2 linked regions of the Danio rerio genome follow. The protein of the gene in region 1 binds, or shares a complex with, the protein of each later gene. Links are inferred from orthologs where the notes say so. Each region holds a gene or a part of one and is shown in the gene's direction. Other genes may lie near its edges. The genes, in order: plxnc1 and sema7a.

The links.
Region 2: the proteins of plxnc1 (region 1) and sema7a are in contact, whole or in part, in a crystal structure (PDB 3NVQ), measured with the Homo sapiens proteins. The link is inferred for Danio rerio from reciprocal best matches to the Homo sapiens genes PLXNC1 and SEMA7A. Residues at the interface, in NP_005752.1 of Homo sapiens: Arg131, Thr151, Glu152, Val153, Asn195, Pro196, Ala197, Ala198, Ser199, Asp200, His201, Thr203, Ala206, Lys208, Arg213, Ser214, Leu215, Ala216, Thr217, Gln218, Glu219, Leu220, Arg222, Lys224, Glu272, Ala350, Ser352, His353; in NP_003603.1 of Homo sapiens: Gln194, Tyr196, Asn197, Gly198, Lys199, Arg202, Arg204, Tyr213, Ser215, Asp216, Thr217, Gln270, Gly271, Gly272, Glu273, Ser274, Ser275, Leu276, Val278, Ser279, Lys280, Pro372, Thr375, Glu376, Phe378, Gln379, Asp382, Arg383.

What each region holds. Positions count from the first base shown.
Region 1 is NC_133179.1:18,895,237-18,899,067, reverse strand, and holds part of plxnc1 (plexin-C1), read left to right. Parts: intron 1-2,751; coding exon 2,752-2,855; intron 2,856-2,970; coding exon 2,971-3,012; intron 3,013-3,264; coding exon 3,265-3,389; intron 3,390-3,831.
Region 2 is NC_133200.1:29,209,701-29,213,389, forward strand, and holds the end of sema7a (semaphorin-7A isoform 1 precursor), read left to right. Parts: intron 1-2,005; coding exon 2,006-2,064; intron 2,065-2,148; coding exon 2,149-2,525; 3' UTR 2,526-3,107; downstream 3,108-3,689. UniProt on the Homo sapiens protein: Plays an important role in integrin-mediated signaling and functions both in regulating cell migration and immune responses.

The sequences.
Region 1 (3,831 bases):
TGTGGGAAGAAAAGAGGCCTGCTCAGCTTAAACAAACTTTAATAAACATAAAGAGTCCTCTACTATTGTTGCTGCTCTTTGTCTTTTTGGAAGTCTTCTGTGGGACTCGAGACAGGCGTGTTGCACAGGTGTCTCTCATTATCCAGCATTCCCACATCATCCAACTTCCCTCAACCATTTTTACTCTACTCAAACAACACTGACATTTGTAAGGTGTTGTCTACTACAGTGGTTCAGTAAAGAAATGTTATCAGCCTCTGTTAAGTGTGTTGACACTTTCCCTTTTCGTTTCGATCTGGACATTATGTATGGAGGACCTATAAAACTCGGCCAGGTTTTTGAAGCTGCACTGAAACTGCAATTTCATATAGATGCACTCCTGCGCAGACTTGCTATTGACACATTCTGTATATTACCCAGCAGGCACACAACATTGTAAGACATTAATATTAGGTTAGATTTAGATCATGACGTCAATGTCTAGCCAGAGTCTGAGGACAACCTTATGTTTACATTTGTTAACAACATCAAATTACATTGATATTTGGTTGATTTTATGTTGTGTAGGAAAGTGACCATAGTGGTGATGTCCACACAACCTCAAGTTGTAACATGATTAGACGTTGCTAATTGGTTGATTTTAGGTTGGACATTGACGTCAGCCTGACGTTGGGTTTTGATGCTTGCATTTTGAATGCAATTTGCTCATTTAAGGGAGCTGTTTTGGTCCCTTAAATTTGTTAAGAGGAAATGGTTACTAAGGACTTTGTAGCAACGGTTAAGGGAACACTTAGATCATTAAGAGGGGAATACTTAATGCCAGCCTTAAATTCCTTTAGTTGAGCCTTGTAAGTTGAGTTTTGCTAACTATAGCCTTAACCTTCAAACTAAAGGATTTCTTAGCTTAAGGCCTATCATGCCATGGCCATGATCTTTATCAGCACTTTTTTTTTGTTTTGAAATTTGAATAGTCTCTTTTGGTTAGAAAGATATGGTTTGCAATAAAAACAAATACTTTTGATAATGTTCAGCCTTACAACACTATCAACTAGAGAAAATGTAAAAGCTAGGAGAGTGAGAAAAAGGAAACTCATAGGAAAAAGGAAAGAGAGGGAAAGGAAAAAAATATTCCTTATTGAATCTCCTATCTTATCTTCCCTTGGTGATTGGAGACCAAATGTCAGGTATCCCCCAAATTTGGGCATCCAGCAGTAACCCCAATAGTCCTTCAAGCTCTTACTTGTGGCAGTGTATAGCTGCAGGCTTTGGCATCCAGTGAATGATTGCGACTACTCTGTCTCCTGGTAGATGACAATCATCCCTCTGTGATCCAGCTGACACGGCAAACTCATCTGTCTATCCTAGCAAGTCATAACAGCTACACTAAAATGAGCAACTGTGGACAACAGCTGGTTTTATTCTCTTCCAAACTTTTCTCTCTAGCATTTTGATCCCCTTCAACATTTCATGCTCTTTTTTTCTTCCTATCGAGTTTTGAGAGAAAAAAAACAAAACTGTAGTCTTTCCAAACATACTGCTACTTGGTCCTAAACAAATTTAGATGCCCTCAAATGCAATGCAATATAATTGTACTGAATTGTACAATATGATTGTAAGATGGCTCACCCAACAAGTACTCAGCAGTACACTGCTCCGTCCTGTGGGATAATTGTTCCTCATTGTGGCGGAAATGAGCTTGAATGAAATTCCCCCTTTTGAGCATTTAGACTACTCCTTTGTTTTGTCATCTGAGACAAATTTGGAAAATCCTAAAAGAAGTCCTAGGCTAAAATCTGTGATCTTTGATCGTTGGTTTGACATGTTCAGTGACAGCCGCTTAGTGCCCGTTAAGATCAGATTTTTTCTCAGATGAAGTTCTAGCAGTGTAAAAAAGATTTCAGACATTTTACTGAAGTGTGACAACAGCTGCAATGTGCATCAATCCAAAAAGAGAATAGGAGCAGCAAATTTGATTTGATTAGAATTTAAATGACCGCTGGAAATGTCAAAACAGTTTTTTTCCTCCTGGTTTAATTATTGTGACTCGCTGTGTGCAAAATTGGCGCTACAGATTTACATTTCAGTCATTTCAGAACGCGAGAGAAAGTGTCACGGTGGATGATGTCAAACTCCGGAGGCGTTTTCTTTCATGTTTGGCGCATCTTCATTGTCGTTCAATCTGACTTTATGACACCTTAGATCTTACAGTGTGACATGGGAGCCATGTTTGTGCAGTCTGACATGCTACAATCGTTCAGGATGAAAAAAATTGCACAGTGTGAGCTGGCCGTAACACAAGTGCAACAAGCATCCGTTAGCAGTATTGATTTTTCTCGTCTTTCTTGATATTGCAATCCCCCTTAGCACCAAGGGCTCTTTTAAACATATGTCTCTTTCATCCTATTGCTTTGGCATTAATAAAAAGTTTTTAGTGTATTAAACAACAAAACTACAAAAGGAAAGAGGCAGCTGCCACCTTATTGAAGTACTGCACCATGGAACTTGTGACCTACATTTCTCATAGGCCTTAGTCAAGTTTGTGGCATAATCAATTCTTGACAAGAATTGAAATGAGGCCATAGTGTATAGAAGTAGATATCATTAGAATTGCACTGTTGTTTGTGTACAACATACTGATTGTTCAGTTGGTGGAAAAACTTTCATTGGCTATAAACGTAAGACAGCTATGTGATGTGGACTTCATACTCTTGCAACTGTGGCATATTTAATTGTTTATGTTTGTTTTGACAGGCTTTGTTGACTTGCAAACAGAAAAATCGGACTTAATTGATAACGTTGGAGCCATACCTTTCCTGGATTATAAACACTTTGCGTCAAGAATCTTCTTTCCAGAGGTTGAAGAGTTTTATTTATTTAAGTTTACTATTTGATGTTTATCGACTATTATAGACTTTTTAGGCATTTATTCTAAATTATAGATGTTTTTTCTTATATTCTTATATTCTTTAGGCTGGTACTCTAACAGCAGTCATGATTAGAGATATTGGGGAGGTAAGAATCTTACCATGCTTTCACAGACGAGGCTTCAATGCTGTTTCAAATGAAAGTATCTTGCACTCATTGGTCTTTAAATATATCAGGGTTTTGTTTTGTTTCAAAATGGACGCCAGTTGTGCTTTTTGTTTTTTGTAAGCCACATTTATAAAAAAAAAAAGTAATTTAAATATTGAACTTAAGTATAAACCATGTCTGTGAAACCATGCTTAAAGTTTTAACTCTATTACTGTCTTTTCTTGTGGCCAGGACTCTGAGCAAACAACTGTCGATGAGAAATGCCTGGCTTTTGCAGAGCTGATCAGAGATAAGCAGTTTCTCAGTTGTTTTGTGCATGCATTAGAGGAACAGAAAAACTTCAGCATTAAAGACAAGTGAGTTAAAAACAACTTGTTGTAGATGTTTTAAATACATTCTTACCTCTGTGTGATGGTTGGGGCTATTTTGATCGGTCTAGCTGTCAACAGAGATAATGTCTGTGTGTTTTCTATTCTGAAAATGTTGACCACACTGAAACATCAATGTGCTTAGTTTGTTTTTAAGTTAAAAAATACCTAATTGCCGTAATAGTTTTGCTTGAACTCTTGCCTGAGCAGCGTTTAAAAATTTAACTAAAATTGTTCATGCACATAATTGCAATATACATCAGCATGATTGATTTCATTCAATCTATTGAGATTCAGATTCAGTTCAAGTGCTTTATTTGCCTGGTGTTAGGCTGAATCTCCATTTATGCCAATAATATTGGAGTCTACCTCTTAACTAGATTTTGTAAAGATGATTAATTGTCTGATTACCAAAACTAGTTAGCAGCAA
Region 2 (3,689 bases), on another chromosome or scaffold:
ATTCACCGAAAGTTAATTCTACTCATTTCAAAAGAGTTATGAACTCTGTGTCGAAGGTAATGAGTTAATCAAATACCTCATTAGTTCAACTTGAATGGAGTAAGTTCACAGTACTCATTTAGATTTTTTTTTTTTAACTCAAATGGTTTGTGGTAATCGGTTTCCTCAAACGGTTTGAGTTGCCTTAACTAACTGGGTTTTACAGTACTCAATTGATTTGAGTTTTCTTCATTTATTGGGTTTTATTCATATATGTATATATATTTTATATATATATATATATAATTTTATTACTTATTATTATTTTTTTCCCCCCAGAGATGGGTTGCAGCTGCAAGGGCATCCGCTGCGTAAAAACTTGCTGGATAAGTTGCCGGTTCATTCCGCTGTGGCGACCCCGGATTAATAAAGAATACTAGTTATAAACAATATATATATATATATATTAGGGTTGTAACAATATACCGGTATGACGGTCCACCACGATTTGAACGTGCACGATTATCATACCATGAACAATTGCATATCAACGGTTTTAACCCTTAAAGACCGAGACAGCCGCCCGCGGCTAAAAATAAGTATTGCTCTTAAATGTTTAATAACTTTTGATCCGCTGATCCGATTCATACAATTCAAAGATTGGCATAAAGAAGAGAATCTTCCAGTGCCGTATCACATAACATTTACGGACTTTCAGAGGCTCCAGAATCAGTGCGGTTACGTCATCAAAATTTGACAACGCTGATTTGACAAAGAAACGCTCGTCACTGTGTCTCCGGACAAACCAGACATACATTGATGCATTGTCCTTTCTCCATGCCCAGATTGGTTCAAACTCGCTATATCACAACCAATAAGCATAGGTTTCGCTTTTGTTTGTGGACCAACAATGAGCTTTTTGAACAACACCGAATGAGAGATAGGCATACATTTATGCGCGGCTAAATAAAACGCAAAAAAAAAAAAGTTTTGCATGAAATAATTCTCATACTAAGTACTTTTGCATGCACAGCAGCACAGAAACATGACAAAACAGTGACACAGCAAAGACGAAGTGCTGCTCTTGCTGTTTTCAAAAGACGCAAATGAAGGTGCAGCTGTTTGTCTGCATTGCAGACAACCATATCCAAATCCATATCCACAGACAACCATATCCATGCTGGCACATAAAACCTAAGGATGTTCCATATTGAATCTAGTTTCGTTATGTAACTATTTATAGTATAGTAAATATTTATATCTATTTTTTTTACTGAGGATTTGCACCATGTTTATTTGGACTTTGACACATTATTTATTATTTCCTTTTTTTTTTATTTGTTCATTGTAAGTGGTGTTGTTTATAGTAACTGAAAATATATTATTTGGAAAAAGTCAAATTTGCTTCACTGTTCTATTATTTTGTAACATTTTTTTTCTGTTTAGTTCATTCCCAGACCTTTTGGGCAAATACATTGTCAGTAAATAAATGCATTTTTTTTCCCCCATAGAAAAACCTTTGTTCAGTCAGAAAACGTGTTCTTATTCTTTTCAGGGTCTTTGCTATGAGAATTACTATTTAATACCGTATACCGCGAAACCGTGGTATTGTTTTAGACGATTATCATACCGTAAAAAATTCATACCGTTACAACCCTAATATATATATATATATATTGTTTATAACTAGCACATTTCATACATTTATTTTAGACAATTTTAGCTAACCCAATTCACCTGTCCTGCATGTCTTTGGACTCGTGGGGGAAACCAGAGCACCCGGAGGAAACCCACGTGAACACGGGGAGAACATGCAAACTCCACTCAGAAATGCCAACCCAGCTGAGGCTCAAACCAGCGACCTTCTTGCTGTGAAGCGACAGCACTACGTACTGCGCCACCGCGTTGCCCACTAGCACAGTTATATACACATAAAAATACAAAGACTCCATTTTTATTTCATTGCTACAATAAGACATTTATTTCAGTGAGACTATAATGTTTTTCTGTTTGGATTTTGTTTCAGAGGAGGAATACAAAACATTTCTGATGGCAATGTCACTAAAGTATGTGACCACAAATCAGGTATATAACTAATCCAATAATTGTTTTAAGACACAAGACAAAATAAGTCTTCCAATCTCATGTATCTCTAACAAATGTTTTTAGTGGGAAGAGTTAGACGAGACGCTCAACAGTCATCTACTGCTCCCTCAAGGATTCAACACACTGTGGCCACTGATGTCCCCTTCTACTTATCTTGTCCGGTCGATTCACATCATGCCAGTTATAGATGGGAACACGGGGGCAAAAGCAACCCATGTCAACAGACCCAATCGGAATACCTCCTCCTAATCCCAGCTATGACGGCTGAGAATTATGGCAATTACAGTTGTGTTTCCCAGGAACGTGATTACATCAAAGTTGTGAGAGAATATGAACTCCTTGCTAAGTCTGTTTTTAATGATGCTTTCAAGCTGAAAATACAAGACCGGCAGCTAATGGTAGCATTTGTCACGAGTGCCTTCTATCTGTGCTCACTTTAAGGTCAAGCTTGTTATGTAAGTGCTTCTGTCTTTAGGCATTTCTGACGACATTTAAGCTGATTAAAACATCAGTCACGTTGTCAAGAGGCTAGTGGTTCGTGGGCAAAGATAATTGTCTTACAAAGTCAGCACTGAAGTGCACATCCTAGAAGATAACTTCCCATTATATGTTAACCATCTATTTAGTATGTGCTGAATTGGTACAGTGGAGTACCAAAGTCTAAAACTCTTTGGAATCTGAAAATACAGTATTTAGCATTGACAGCGTTTTTTACATGCTGCACAGATATTATGTTTGGAGATTCCCTGTAAATATTACTAACAATTAGAATAGTAATACATTTAATTGGTAATGTGTTTTTTTTATAACAGCAAAAAAAAAAAAAAATAATAATAATAATAATTTTTAAAAAATCAAGTAAAAACAACCCTGAAATAAAATGCTTTGTGACAAGATGTAAAAAATTGCAGGGAGAGAATTACACTGTTTTACAAAGAAAATTTCATATATAAACATCAAAAAGCACTTTAAGACTGACCCTCAACATTGATCTTTACCAATACAAAAAAAAAAAAAAAAAAGCCACTGGACTAAATTTGAATAAAATATGAACTGCTTATTATCACCCCTCCCCTCCTACATGAACTTAAATTAAATTCAAGAAATTATTAAATAAATATCTGCTCGATAGTCACTTGGATTTTTAAAAAAGTTTTGGTTCAAATAAAGGCAGAGAGGTTTTCAGGAGTGTGGTTAACCTGAAGCAAGTTTTTATTTTTTGTCTATATATTTAGTGTTTGCGTGAAGGTCTTTAAGATTCAGTTTATTATTTATGAAGAAAAGGTTATTGTTCTACATTATGGCTGTGATGAAGATAGGGATTTTGTGTTGATTGCCCGTTTGAAAACTGCACCTTGACCCTTATGAGGAATGAGGAAGAAAGAAATTGAAGAAAGAATTCCACAGCCTTTCACACTAGCAAAATGTATGGCCATAACCATATCACCCTGCAGCCCAAGACCAGTTCCACACTAAAGCTAAGCAGGGCTAAGCCTGGTCAGTACCTGGATGGGAGACCACTTGGGAAAACTAGGTTGCTGTTGGAAGTGGTGTGAGTGAGGCCAGCGGGGCACTCAACCTGCGGTCTGTGTCCTAATGCCCTA